Linked DNA regions of Danio rerio. The protein of the gene in region 2 interacts with the protein of the main gene of each other region in a biochemical or structural test. Links are inferred from orthologs where the notes say so. Each region holds a gene or a part of one and is shown on either strand. Other genes may lie near its edges. The genes, in order: pex7, pex5, agxtb and ddo.

Region 1 (3,571 bases), on a different chromosome or scaffold from region 2:
TGTACAAAAGCATTTGCAACTTGTTCAAAAGAATGATAAACTGCTATTCTGATGTGCACAACTAACACCATAATGTGAAGATTGAACAGGTAGTTTTGAGAATTTTAATTCTGATCTGAGAAATGTACCAAAGCGACTAAGAAAAACTGTAACTGACTGATACAATAAGATTTACTAGTGTCAAGGATTTCAATGTTGCCAAGGACTTCACCCATATTGCACCAGCTATCAACAAAATTAGGGCTGTTGTTATTAATTATTTGAGTATTTGAGTTTTCTATTAATTCAATCAAGTAATCAGATTAACGGTATCTTTATTAAAGAGCAATACTAGACACACAAGAGAAAAAAAGACAGGCAGATTTGGTTCCTTTTTTCAATTTTGCTTTCTATTCTTATGTTGCACAGGTATATACTTTTATACATTTACATATTTTTGGCTATAATATATTTTTGTCCTGGTGCTGAGGAGCCTATAGTAATAGTAACATGTTAATATAAGCACAGGGGGGAAATGTGGAGTATGTGGCTGTATCTAAAATCAAACACTATACCCTTAAATAATGGGAAATGTGGGAAGTTTTCTTGACTGTGAATTTTCTTCTTTAACTCTGTTAATTGAGCGGTGCGGTAGCGCAGTGGGTGGCACGTTCGCCTCAAAGCAAGAAGGTCACTGGTTCGAGCCTTGGCTGGGTCAGTTCGCATTTCTGTGTAGAGTTTGCATGTTCTCCGCGTGTTCACGTGGGTTACCTCCGGGTGCTCCAGTTTCCCCCACAGTCCAAAGACGTGGTATAGATAAATTGGGTAGGCTAAATTTTCCGTAGTGTATGTGTGTGAATGAGTGCATGGGTGTGTGTCAGTGTTGGGTTGCAGCTGGAAGGGCATCCGCTGTGTAAAACATATGCTGGATAAGTTGGTGGTTCATTCCGCTGTGGTGACCCCTGATTAATAAATGGACTAAGCCGAAAAGAAAATGAATGAATGAACTCTGTTAATTGTATAATTGTTTTGTCTTCTGTTACCTTTGCTGTTTGTTTGCTTGTTTGTGTGTTTTTATTAATTTATTGGGCCTTGAGTCTAAATAATAAAGTTGATTTACTGATAATTACTCAACGAATCATTTTAGCCCTCGACAAAATGAAAATTATCTGTTTTTGCATATTTGAGTTATTTTTTATTTATGTATTTTAAGTACATACTAAGCAAAACTATCCACTGTCATTGGCACTTTTTTGACATTGCCATCTCAATCTATCAGACTACATAATATATGTGGTCTGCACCACAAAATTTCCAGAAAAAATAAATAAAAGCCATTCTCCTACCTGAGGCCGAAGCAAAGCATGCTGGGATATGAGGAGACCAGATGGTGCTGTAGATGACACCCTCATGACCCTGAAGGGAGTTCACTAACTGACACTGCACTGGATCCCACTTTGTAGAAAAACAGCACAGATATAAAATACATTCCAGTACAGTAATACATTTCTTAGATGTTCATTTCAGTCTTCTAGTTTAAAGGATATCTATAGAGTATATTGGTGTGCTCCGAAACAGTGACAAAATTTGCGCTTAGGAGATATAAGACCGAGTTAAATGTAAAGCTTGTAGTTTGTCACTTCTGTCTAAATGGATCAACGTTTTTTTCCACGTCACCTCATACTTCAGTTTCTCATCTATCTTGACCAATCAAATGCTCTATATTGTTTGACACAACTAGTCCCCTTTAAGATGCTTCTCATTTGCTTTTCATTCGATGCGCTTGAACTCAATCACCACTGGCAGAGCTGTGATAAAAACAACACACTATTGGATACTTTTTAATAAGAGGAGGGGCTACTCTATGTCCCACCCTCTCTTCATTTTTCAGTTAGGATTAGGTCAATTATCAAATAAAAGTGCACATTTGAATATACATATCTCATATCAATAGAATATACATATCGCAGCTGGTGACGGATTACATTTAATTTATGCATTGGTTGTTTATTAAAGTTTGACCAATTAGATGGGAGCCTAACTATCTTTATCTCCATCTCCACATTAGTTGCTGTTCTGCTATTGGCTGGAGCAGACTAAAAGTAAAACCAGAGCTGAAAATAAATTCTTATTGTGAGAGTTAAGACAAGAGAGAAATGACAACAGCCAATCAGAGTCAACAGACCAGCTGATTTTTTTACTCATTCATATTGTTTAAAAGACTAAATGTTTGCACCTTTCTACAGTTTTTTTATTAGCAATTTAGAATTAATTATATGTAAAAATATGTTTTACCTATTTATTTTAATATCATTAAATAAATAAAGCATTTAAAAACATTGGCAACAAAAACAGTACTTTTTTAGGGGAAATATTATATCATAAGAAACATTATTATGGGAATATTCAACAACAATATTGCATATTTTTCTAGTATATAAAGACTGTTTTCCTTTTAAATCTTCACAATTACATTTAATTTAGCATTTAAACAATGCATGATTATATGGTTAGTTAAATGCAATTATTCGCAATTAACATTTATAATATGGCAAAATTGTCTGCGTATATTCATCCTCTAAACTAAAGTCTGCTTACCACTTTGGCTGTGTGGTCCCAAGATCCTGATACTAGCAGGTTTTCAGCACGTGTTTGACTCCAGTCTACTGAATACACCTATAAAAAGAGGGGATTTGCATCAGTCCAGAGGTTCTAAAGTGCTAAAACTTTACCTTTTCACTAATATATTTCCATTTAAATATTTATTATTATTAACTCTATACTACATGTCCATACTGCTGTTTCCAGAAAAGTTCTCCCTCCACACTACACAGCTGAAAATGCAGTTCAGAAGCTAAAAGTAGCTATAGAATTAAAGCACAAAATTTTAGCCATAATTCAATTATTTAAATAACACTACAATCACATTTGCTATAAGAAAAAATATATTAAACTGTGTTATAAAATACAAAAATTTCAATACCAGATACAATATTAAAAATAAGGACAGATTCAATAAGTGATTTATATATGACAATCAAAATGTCCTTCTCAATATAAAAACTTCTCAGTTTTCTTAACAGACTCAACAATTGCTGAGCCTTTTCAAAAACATTCTCGGCGAGTTTATCAAAAGAGAATTGAAAGTCAATCCCCACACCTAAATATTTAAAAGAACTCACCTGTTTAGCTTCCTCCCCGTTAATTTTGTTTGTAACACATTTCTTTCATCTTACTAATATTAAGCTGCAAGGAACTCTCTGTTGTCCAACTTGTTACATAATTGACAAAATGTAAATAATCATCCAATAACTGAGTATACTTTACACATCCCACCAAAGCCATATCATCAGCAAACTTGCTAAGTGTCAGTTTTTCATTGTCACAAGATATATCGTTTATATAAATAAAAAACTAAATTGGTGATAAAACACATGCTTGAGAAAGGCCAGTATTTAACACCATTCTCTGACTTTATACTCTTAGCCAATACATGCTGTGGTCTGGATAGTTCCTGATCCTTTAAAGTCTTTCCAAACATGTCTGAATTTTTTCTGTTGAACACAAAGGAAGATATACTGAAGAATGAAAG
Region 2 (3,571 bases):
TTAACAAAGCAGATATTGAATTACGCTCTGTATGGTTGGTGTCAGTCAATAAATCAATTTTTCTTCACATTTTCTGACCGATATATCAAAGAAAACCAAGCATTTTATGACATAACTAGCTACTCAGTATTTTGCTTTCATTTTCTTAGATAATCAGGTGAATCAGTATCCGTGTGGGCATTACGACCTAGGGGAGAATGTTAGTTGGCAGAGGCAGTAGCACAACACAAGTTACAGTGATCTTACTGAGGGATATTGACCACACAGTTCAGTTGCATTAAGTACAGTTATTCAGTACTCACACTCTCAGTTTCAAGTCAGTAATGCAAAACAGTTCATCTAAAGCACAGATAAAAGTTCACCTCAGATTGTTGACCTGATCTTACTACAAGCGCTCCGGTCAGTTTTCAAAAGCAGCATCTTGTTCACATATCCTGCACTTGAGTTAGCCACACCCACTTCTTTATATGTAGTGGTGTAAATGGACTAAATCAAATCTATTAGAATTGACAGTTTATTCAACAATAACTATATAAGGTTGATGTCAATTTTATTCGCCCACCTGTGAATTTGTCTTTGTTTTTAAATATTTCCCAAATTATGTGAGAGCAAAGCATTTTTCACAGTATTTGCTAAAATATTTATACTTATTTGTTTTATTTCGGCTAAAATAAAAGCAGTTTTAATTTTAAGTTATGTTATAATTTATTACGTTACAATATTATTAACCCACTTAGGCAATATTTTTTAAATTGTCTAAAGAGCAAACCATCAAATTACAATGACTTGCCCAACCTAATTACCTAGTTAAGCCTTTAAATAGTACTTTAATCTGAATACTATGATCTTGAAAAATATCTAGGAAAATATTATTTACTGTCATCATGGCAAAGACAAAGTAAATCAGTTAGTAGACATTAGCTATTAAAACTATTATGTTAAGAAATGTATTAAAAAAAAATCTTCTCTCTGTTTAACAGAAATTTGTAAAACAAAAACATAAAATAATTTAAATTTAACAGGAGACCTAATAATTCTGACCTCAACTCCTCAATATTTTCAAGCCAAAGCGAGCCAAGCTCCCACAAATTGAACAGTAACATACTGCGTTTCTGATTTTCAAATCAGAGGTGTTATGAACATTTTAAGACATTTTAAATTCATATTGACCTGCCACTTCATTGATAAATTCTCTGGTCCAGTCGGCATCGGCTGGATCAAGAGCTGCCTGTCCAGAAGAAGAGGCGGCATCAGCAGTAGACAGAAACTCTGATGCCCAGTCGCCAGACAGAGCCAGAGCTGCCACATCGGGAGCTGAGAAGTGAAAACATACAGTTATAGTGACATCAACAAGTGTTGAACTTGATGTGGATGTGTGTTTGTGCTGATACCTCTCTGTGGAGCCTGTCTGTAGTTCTGCTGATCAATCTGTTGCATCTCCTCCAGCAGTTGACCCATATCAAAACTATGAGGAGGCCGTTGTGGACCCTGCAGAAACTCACTGACCAGCTGCATTCAAAAAAGAAAACAACAGGACAGGTTGTAAGAACATGATCACAGACTATATGAGCTTATACAAGCTGATCAAGTCATTTAAAACAGATTATACAAACCTCTTCTTCAGTGGCTATTTCAATGGGAGTAGGAGGAATCTATGGGGAAAAAGGGAAAAATCCTAATCAATAATATTTTCAAGATTGCAATTAACAATTACTTAAACAATTAATCTACTGAAAAAGGATTAGATTAATCAAGTGGCTATTTTTGAATGCATATTTGGAATATTTTCTCATTGGTTGATTAATTCTTTAATTCACTTTCTAATAAATAATAATCGCAACTACTACTATTAATAAACAATACAAAAAAATGCAATACTATTAATAAAGGTTTATTTAAACAGCAGGTCTACAGACCTTGCATTTGAGAGAATGTTGTTGAATGTGAATAAAATGTATATGTAAAAATAACAAAACAAATGTAAGTCCAAACTTTTGGTTATGGGATTTGAGATTTTTGAGAAATTCTCAAAAATTAAGTCTCTCTTTTTATGAATTCCCTGCATTTTAATATATTTGTGTCAAAGATGCTTTATTTATGTTTCATTGCCATATCAGCAACATTGGCTATATTCATGACAAGACCTATACTAAATATACAACAATAACTTTTTAAACATTGCCCTTAAAATATTTCCAGTAACACTTTATAATAACTACACACTATGAATCATTTTTTAAATACAAAAAAATATCCAGTAAAATATTATTTACTGTCATCATGGCAAAGATAAAATAAATCAGTTATTAGAGATGAGTTATTAAAACTATTATGCTTAAAAATGTGTTGCAAAAATCTGCCCTCTGTCAAACAGAAAATGGGAAAAAAATAAACATGCGGTCTAAATATTCAGGGGGTCTAATAATTCTCACTTCAACTGTATATATATATATATATATATATATATATATATATATATATATATATATATATATATATATATATATATATATATTAGGCATGCCACAGTTCTCAATAAAATATTGAACCTTACGGTACGACCTCCACGGTTCAATACGCGCTTGTGAATTGCGGTTTTCTCGGTTTTGCATTTATTTCAAATATATATATATATATATATATATATATATATATATATATATATATATATATATATATATATATATATATATATATACATATATCAAATTGCATCACAATTTGTAAATAATGCAATACTAAATTTAGTAATAAACGATTAAAATGGGCGACGCAGTGGCACAGTATGTAGTGCTGGTGTCTCACAGCAAGAAGGTCACTGGGTCGCTGGTTCGGGTCAGTTGGCGTTTCTGTGTGGAGTTTGCATGTTCTCCCTGCGTTCGCATGGGTTTCCTCCGGGTGCTCCGGTTTCCCCCACAGTCCAAAGACATGCGGTACAGGTGAATTGGGTAGGCTAATTTGTCCATAGTGTATTAGTGTGTGTTAATGATTGTGTGTGGATGTTTCCCTGAAAGGGTATCCGCTGCGTAAAAACCTGCTGGATAAGTTGGCGGTTCATTCCGCTGTGGCGACCCCGGATTAATAAAGGGACTAAGCCGAAGAGAAAATGAATAAATGAATGAATGAATGAATGAACAATTAAAATGTAATTAAGTATGAAAACACAATCATTGAGCACATTTTAAATGCGCTTATAAGTCAAGAATACAGCATTTGTAGTTGAATTTATAAACTGCTTACTAACGTCTATTTAGAGTTAATACTTAACATATAAAGAATTAACTATTTGCTAATGCTTAATAGATGATTCATAGTGTGTAGTTATTATAAAGTGTTACCATATATCCTTACACAAGTCACAGGTGTTCCCCTTTCAATAAATATGAGTGTGTACGCCTTGAGTAGCTGATTCTACATCTCAGATGTACACCCTGATTATGTCTGTTTTCAAAATGGTAATCATTTCCTTAATTTACAAATGGATTCACTTCATACAATATTTTGTGTTAAAGATATGTTGGTGATTCTATTTTCCCTAAGTGTTTACTTCAGAATTTCATATAACTTTAAC
Region 3 (4,201 bases), on a different chromosome or scaffold from region 2:
AACACATTTGTTGTCAAATACACAACTACTGTTTAACTACTGCCAAGAAGCTACTGCTACTGTTTTTTTGGGGGGAAAACCTTCTACATGTAAACTGTGGCTTGGGGAAATTACATGTTACATTTGGAGTGAATTAGATACTATTTGGAAAAATAACTTTAACAGTTTGACAAAATTTGGAATCCTTTTATTCGTTACCTTAAAAAAACCTCTCATAATAATGCATCATTTCTGTAATGTTTTAATTTGCTTTGTCATCATACTCTGTTGTTCACATAGGTCTTTGTAACAAGTTTGCTTGTTATGTGGGTGTTTTTTAATTTATTTTCTTATTTCCTTTTGCTGAAGACAAAATATGTAAACAAAATTCTTTTCTTTCCGAATCTGTGTCTTAAATAAAACTTATTTGACGAAAAAGAAATTTACGTTAACAAGCAGTAACACCTAATAAAGTGGCTGGTGAGTGTAATCCTGCACTGTATGATAAAAAATTTACATTTAAATAATGTGCATTTAGCTACCAGACACACTTGCCTAGAATCTATTAAAATTAATCAACATAAATTATTCATACGTAACCGTGAACAAATGTCTATTTATCGTTTGATAGCTGATCTTAAAAATGACTAAATTGCTAACGGACATAAGAGAATTCAGATGGATATGCACATTAGCCATGTCTACTCCAATAGAGCTACTGCCATGTGCTGCACAGACCAATGAAATGTCAGCTGGATACATTACCGTGTGCATGTCAGTTTGTTCACGTCAACCAATCAACTGTGTTGAGAAGTGCACACTCCTCCACTGAGCTCGTAATCAAGTGAAGAATAAATCGATCAATACAGCACCTGCCTGTACACAAGGATGTAAACAAAATCACACTTTTTGTCTATTTGACATGTTTAGGGCTAAAAGGAAAAGATATGAGCGATTAAGCACGTATGTCCTTTCAAAAATATTATTAAATATGAATACACAATTTCCTTTCACGATAGCATTTTCTAGTGGAGTGCAACGCATTTTCTTCTTCCAGCACTGAGATGTTGAGCTCTGTGAAAAAGCTCAGATAAACACGTGTGCTCTGTTTGTTTTTGTCAGGAGGGCATGAGTTATAAGATTGACTTCTAGACTAGAGGACGAAAATAGGAAAACGTATAGCTGACATAAAACATGATGTACAGGAACTTAGATAGCACACAGTTGCTGTAGCTGTTGTTATGCTGTTAATAACATGTATGCACTTCTGGACCGCTATACCTAGTTTGGAAGATGAAGGGAGGAGAAGTTTTGCGCCAAAAGCGTGACGCATGTCGGTGTGTGAACCGGGGGTCAAAGACCTGTTTATTTAAAATGTTGGAGAAACGCAGAGTTTTATCCTTCAGTCGAACAGCAGAGCGAGAGGAATCATGATGCCGAGGACTGTCCTGTCCAGGTGCGCGCGCCTGACGCAGCAGGTGCCGCTGGAAAGCGCGCTCTCCGGCAAACAAAGTGTTCAGCGTGGGATGTCGTCTCTCAGCGTCCCTCCACCGGCCTGCATGCTCCGGCCGCTCGAGGCTCCGTTGCGGTACTTGTTTGGACCAGGACCATCCAATGTGCCGCCTCGTGTTTTGGCGGCAGGAGGGAGACCTATAATAGGTCACATGCACTCGGAAATGTTCGGGGTAAATCTCACACTTTAGTTTGACGCAACGACGCCTTTAATTGTTTTAGATGGACTGATGGAAAGGAAAATTAGTTAAACACAAAAGGCTTCAAAGTCAGCAGAAATGTAGCCTTATACACGTAACTGAAAAAAATCGTTTACTTGGTTTATTTTTAATAAATGTTATTAATAACAAAAAAAATGCAAGGTTGTTTTTTAAATAGGCCTTTTAAATAGGCTACTCTAAATACCAATAGATATGTAGATATAAATATCTCTGAATACGATACTCTTATACATTATACTTGTTATAAAACAACAACAAATAATGTTCAAAATTCATATTCAAATATGCACATTCATATTGAGTCTTTTTAATTTAATACTTTTTGTTTAATTTTTCAAGAAATATATTTTAGGCTGAAAATATAGTTAAATACATATGTTTTTGATTAAAACCTCAAATAAGAAATATTTGTTGACCATTGTAAAATGTTAAGGTTACTCACAAAGGCCAGTGCATGTGTATTAAACAGAAACTCAATATGCTTTGTGCTTTCATGGACTTAAAAACATATCAAGGCAAATTATTTATATTTTAGAGTTGAAACCATTAACCTACATGAAAAAAAATGGATAAATGAAAATGTTATGGGAACTGAAGTTTTGAACAAAGCTTTATCTTTTTGTTTTTAAACACAAAGAGAATTTTAATTAATTGACTTTCTACAACAAGACAAATATGCTTTGTGCCAGGATATATAAAATTGTTCTCATGGAAATTGAACATGTTGTTTGAAGCAATTTATTTATTTTTCATTGGGTCAAGTGATACAATTGAGATGTGAACCATTACTCTATTTAAAAAAAAAAAAAAAAAAAAAAACAGTATATTTAGAAATAGTTTCAATATTTACTAAAAAAAATCTAAAGGTGTATTTGCTAACTTTAATGCACTGTGAATTAATAATTTTATTTAAAGTTCATGTTAATTCATGCATTTTCTATTGTTAATAAATTAGCAATATTGTAAAAATTATCAAATAAAAATGTTTTTGAGATATTTTCAAATTTAAGAATGTAAGTCTGTAAAAGAGATCCACTCTTTCAGCTTCACAACCTTAAAATGTTTTACTTTTGATTGAATCAGTAAAGATCAAAATCAAGTGATTAAAATGTATTGTGGACATTATGTTTGAAAGCCAATGCTGAAATTTTGTTGCAGATTATGAATGAGATCAAGCAGGGAATTCAGTATGCTTTTCAGACCAATAACAGCATGACTCTGGCCATGAGTGGCTCTGGCCACACAGCAATGGAGTGTGCAGTGTTCAACATCGTGGAGCCCGGAGAAAGCGTTTTGGTTGCAGTTAATGGAATCTGGGGGGAACGAGTCGCAGAAATTGCAGAGCGCATGGGTATGAACAATAATAACTTCAGTCCACTGTTCTGTAAAAATTCATCATAATCTGTTGATAAGACCACACTTGCCTTTCTTACAACAGGTGCAAAGGTTCACACATTGGCAAAAGCACCAGGAGGACATTTCACAAATGCAGAAATTGAACAGGTAAAACTGTGCTTCATTTAAATGTGATGTTAAGACAAATTTCCTTTGCATATTTTGTCTTTTACAAACCCTAAAAGTTACTGTATATGACTGGATCAACAAACCTAACATTCATCTTTCTACAGGCTCTGGCCAAACATAAGCCAGTTCTCTTCTTTCTCACACATGGAGAGTCATCAGCTGGTTTGGTGCACCCAATGGACGGAATTGGAGATGTGTGTCGCAAGTAAGAATATCATACAATCATTTAGCTTACTGGGTGACTTCTAATGGAAAATCAATTAAATGCTTCCCTTTTGGGGTCTTGTATGAAAAAATCATGAATAAGTGTTTTTTTGCATGCGCAAATCTCAGATTGATGTACAGAATTAAATCAATATTTGAAGTTGAGTTGCTATACGTATTAACCCCGTTATTAGCAACACCGGTTGCCATTTGGTAAACTGCACCAAGGAACTTATGGCCCAATTCCACTGAGTGGTTCGATACGCTTTTACAGTATGGCCGTTTCCATGGTCAAAAGGTACCCAAAAGTGAACCGTACCGTACCACTTTTTGGGTACCATTTGCAAAGGGTATCTAGCACGGCAAAAGGGTACCAAAAGGCAGAGCTAGCCGCGCAGCTGAACACTATTGATTTACAGAGAAACGTCACTAGCAGTAAAATGAAAACAAAAAGAAAAAAAATTGCCATTTTTAAATATACAGCCGAGACATTACACTGTAATACTATACATGTATAATAACGAGCCATGGTCGACCCAAGCTCAAACAAACCTTGTAGTCGTCTTGATGGACAGCCACAAAGCCAAGAAGAACAAAATCTTCCCTGTCCTGTTTTTGTTTTTAAAAGTGCGTCTAAAAGTGCGAGCGGTTTTACTTTCTTCAGAGAGCTCGTATGCGTGTCTATATTTGAAATAAACTTTGAGCTGATGATAGTAACGTGTGCATGATTATTGAAGTGCTTTTGACATCCCATCCTTTCA
Region 4 (4,015 bases), on a different chromosome or scaffold from region 2:
ATAAGTGTTTTTGCAAATTTAAGTGGATTAAACATAAAAGAAGTTATCATAGAGTGAAATAAAGCAGCTGTATTCTACAGCATTCTGTAGTGCATTTAGTCATTGCCCAGCAGGCACACAATGTCATAAGACGTTAATATTAGGTTAGATTTAGGTTGTGATGTCAGGTGACCAAAATTCAATGTCTAGCCAGCGTCTAAGAACAATATTTTGATGGCCAATAATGACGTCAAATGACGCTGATATTTGGTTGATTTTAGGTTGTTAGAAAGTGATTTGTTAGAACACTCTCATCAGTGTCATGCATTTAAACAGTCTCTGGGTCAATGCGTGTAAATATTTTGGACATCTTCTTGGACATTTTTAATGCTTCCAAACAGTTTGCTGCAATTTTAAATTGCATGTCTTGAGGTAGTTCATTATAATGCGATATATCTTCTGTGTTACTAACATGAACTAATTATGAATAATACTCACAGCATTTATTAGTCATATTCCATTAAATACTAATGCATTTTTAACATCCAAATTCATGCTTGCTAACATTAGTTAATGCAGCGTGGGTTAAAATCCAGACATCCATTTTACATTCTGCAGCCCAGCATTACTGTAAAGATTTCATTGTGTATTGGTAAGCATTTAATCAGCCCGTTTTACCTAGAGGAAAAATGGATTATGCAACGTGCAAAAGGCATTATACAACTAAGAGAACATTTACACAACGTTCTGTTATTATTCAACATTTTGTTTTGGGTGCTTGAAAAAAAAAAGGTTGAATTCTAAAAACGTTGTGTAAACGTTTCCTCTCCAGTTGTATAATGCCTTTAGCATGTTGCGCAATCCATTTTTCCCACTATGTAAAAAATGAAAGACCAAAACACACAAAAGGCTTTTAGTTTTTAGTTGGAAATAGTGTAAGCGTACACACTTCAAGTAGTTTTTTTTTTTTTTTTTTTAAACAGGCTTTACCAATGAGTCAATATGCTAATGTTTAATTTAATCAAAACTCATTCGATAAACATTGAAAACGTTTGAATGTTATTTATAAACTATAATTGTAGAAGTATTTTGAAAGTAGGCTGATCGAATATTCATAAAATATTAACAAAATATGAATCGAGCATTTGCAATACTATAGGTTCAATTTCGGAACGGTTGCTCGCTGAAGCTAAGCAGGGCTGAGCCTGGTCAGTGCCTGGATGGGAGACCACATGGGAAAGCTAGGTTACTGCTGGAATTGCTGTTAGTGAGGTCAGCAGGGGGCGCTCAACCTCCCGTCTGTGTGAGTCCTAATGCCCCAGTAAAGGGTAAAGTCTAGATCGAATATGCGGCCGGCCGGAAGTGCGATATGCACATTAATAAAGCAGCATTTTTTTATGACACTGTATAACAATAATTAATATTTTTACAGTACTGTGAGGGTGGGGTTTAGGGTTGGGGTTGGGGTAGGCGTTAAAAAATACATTTTATTGGGTAATTTAATAGATAACACAACTAATACTCGGTAAACTAAAGTTTTTACAATACTGTGACGGTTGGGTTTAGGGTTGGGGTGGGGGTAGACGTTAATAAAATACAACAAATGAAAAATGTAATAAATAATAGAAATAATTCACGTTAACTTCCGGCCGCAAACGTATCCGCTCTAGCAACAACCCCAGTAAAGTGAAGGGGACACTACACTGTCAGTAAGCGCCGTCTTTCTCTGCGGTCATTAAAAATCCCATGGCACTTCTCGTAAGAATAGGGGTGTAACCCAGGTGTCCTGGCCAAATTCCCTTCATTGGCCCTTATTGATCATGGCCTCTCAATCATCCCCATCCACCGAATTGCGTCGCCACAGCAGAATGAACCGCCAACTTATCAAGAATATGTTTTACACAGCGGATGCCCTTTTATGCCACAACCCATCACTGGGAAACATCCATACTTACCCGTTCATACACATACACTACGGACATTTTAGCTCACCCAATTCACCTATAGTGCATTCGTTTGGGCTGTGGGGAAAAACGGAGCACCCGGAGGAAACCCACGCCAACACGGGGAGAACATGCAAACTCCACACAGAAATGCCAACTGACCCGGACGAGGCTCGAATCAGTGACCTTCTTGCTGTGAGGCAATCATGCCACCCACTGTGCCACCATGATGCCCTTGTAAATAATCTAATAATTATTTTTGTAAATGGTGTGTATCAAATGTATCTTTGTCATAGAATAAAAGTATTTAAAAAAACTGACCTACAAAAATTAGATGACAAACAAAATAATTTCCCTTTCACACAATACAGACATTCACAAGCAGACCATAAAAATGTGCCAATAAAGTCAATAAACAACAGACTGAAGTGTCCTTATCTGACCGTTAATTATGGGTTACTTATTATGTGTTTCTGGGTTATCACAATAATAAAAAAAAATCATAATTTCTTAAAAAGTAATAATAGTAATAATAAATTTATTAACATTTATAATAATAAAACAATTGGAAAGTTTGCCTGAATCTAATAAAGTGCGAAGAACGAAGTGAATAAACCTATAAATAATCAAAAATAAAATGTATTCCTTCAATACATATTAATTCATATCCATATTTAAAACGTTGTACAAATATTTAGTGTATTTCGTGTTACTGTAGTAAAAGTACTTGTCGCAATAACAAGATACAACACAAATACAGTAACTTATTAACTTGGGGATATATTATTGCAGCCTATTTCAAATACTTTGAATGAGAATGTAAAAGCAGGTGCAAAGTATATGTCACACTCTTACCTTGAGTCTGTCGAGTCGAGACCTGCAGGATCAAACACAAAGCTCTTCTCTCTGTGGGTGAAATATTATCAGTCACACTGCAGCGCGAGGACTGTTATGTCTGTCCTGTTTAAAAGGCATCATGGGAAATGGAGTTTTCGCAGGGGTTTTCTGTTATTTTGAAGGGTTACAGCATTTTACAATCTATTACACCACGTATGGACGTATTTTAAATAATTGTTAATTTAGCGGACATCAAACATACTGCTACCAGGACAACATTGTCTATTTATAGTTATTCAATTCTGTGTCATTTAAATGAGCGCTCTATTGTGGTGCATTGCTGTACTTAGCCAGCACGATTATGGCGCTGTTTGAGCTGCTCCTACAGGGGGCGCTTGGAGGATCAAAAAATGTGTATTTTATTATATAAACGCTTTAATTTTGTTATTAGAAATATACAAATCACATACGTAATAATAATACTTTTAAAAATTTCTAATTTTTACTCAAATTTTGAGTAATATTTACAACAAGTGCTTTTGCTCTACTTGCACTACATTTTTAGACAAGTAATGATACTTTTACCTAAGTATAATTCTTATTTACTTTTCCCACAACTGTTTGTCTTTGATGGGAATAATACAAATTGTTAAGAGGTAGTTAATAGTTTTCAATGTTTGATTTCAAATAATTGCCAGAATTTTTTATTCTTTTTTTATTGAATAAAAATATGTTATTTTTATAATGAATATTTTATCTGTTCTGTGTTTACAACTCTAAGTTACTTAATATAAAAATGCAGTAATTTCTATATATAGAGTCCCTTTATTCATCAGGGGTCACCACGGTGGAATGAACTGCCAACTTATCCAGCATATGTTTTATGTAACGGATGCCCTTCCAGCTGCAACCCATCAGTGGGAAACACCCATAAACTCTCATTCACACACATGCACTACCGACAATTTAGCTTACCCAATTCACCCCTTGTGCATGTTTTTGGACTGTGGGGGAAACCGGAGCACCCAGAAGAAACCCACACCAATATGGGAAGAACATGCAAACTCCACACAAAAATGCCAACTGACCCAGCCGAGGCGACAACTACCGATTGTGGCGCTACCCACTGTGCCACCCTATATATATATATATATATATATATATATATATATATATATATATATATTTTTTTTTTTTATTTTTTTTTTTAACAAAAATATAACACCATCTGGCGACACGGTGGCTCAGTGGTTAGC

Evidence for each region.
Region 1: the proteins of pex5 (region 2) and pex7 form a complex in vitro, tested with the Homo sapiens proteins (3 studies listed by BioGRID). The link is inferred for Danio rerio from reciprocal best matches to the Homo sapiens genes PEX5 and PEX7.
Region 3: the proteins of pex5 (region 2) and agxtb are reported together in a solved structure, tested with the Homo sapiens proteins (2 studies listed by BioGRID and IntAct, with this or other methods). The link is inferred for Danio rerio from reciprocal best matches to the Homo sapiens genes PEX5 and AGXT.
Region 4: the proteins of pex5 (region 2) and ddo form a complex in vitro, tested with the Homo sapiens proteins (2 studies listed by BioGRID, with this or other methods). The link is inferred for Danio rerio from reciprocal best matches to the Homo sapiens genes PEX5 and DDO.

What each region holds. Positions count from the first base shown.
Region 1 is NC_133195.1:42,858,458-42,862,028, forward strand, and holds part of pex7 (peroxisomal biogenesis factor 7), read right to left. Parts: intron 2,656-3,571; coding exon 2,578-2,655; intron 1,435-2,577; coding exon 1,326-1,434; intron 1-1,325. UniProt on the Homo sapiens protein: Receptor required for the peroxisomal import of proteins containing a C-terminal PTS2-type peroxisomal targeting signal. Specifically binds to cargo proteins containing a PTS2 peroxisomal targeting signal in the cytosol.
Region 2 is NC_133191.1:12,440,880-12,444,450, forward strand, and holds part of pex5 (peroxisomal biogenesis factor 5), read right to left. Parts: intron 1,653-3,571; coding exon 1,614-1,652; intron 1,510-1,613; coding exon 1,392-1,509; intron 1,315-1,391; coding exon 1,171-1,314; intron 1-1,170.
Region 3 is NC_133177.1:26,013,935-26,018,135, reverse strand, and holds the start of agxtb (alanine--glyoxylate and serine--pyruvate aminotransferase b), read left to right. Parts: upstream 1-1,401; 5' UTR 1,402-1,409; coding exon 1,410-1,664; intron 1,665-2,870; coding exon 2,871-3,063; intron 3,064-3,150; coding exon 3,151-3,215; intron 3,216-3,340; coding exon 3,341-3,441; intron 3,442-4,201. UniProt on the Homo sapiens protein: Peroxisomal aminotransferase that catalyzes the transamination of glyoxylate to glycine and contributes to the glyoxylate detoxification.
Region 4 is NC_133192.1:8,094,354-8,098,368, reverse strand, and holds the start of ddo (D-aspartate oxidase), read right to left. Parts: upstream 2,806-4,015; 5' UTR 2,778-2,805; intron 1-2,777. UniProt on the Homo sapiens protein: Selectively catalyzes the oxidative deamination of acidic amino acids. Suppresses the level of D-aspartate in the brain, an amino acid that can act as an agonist for glutamate receptors. Protects the organism from the toxicity of D-amino acids.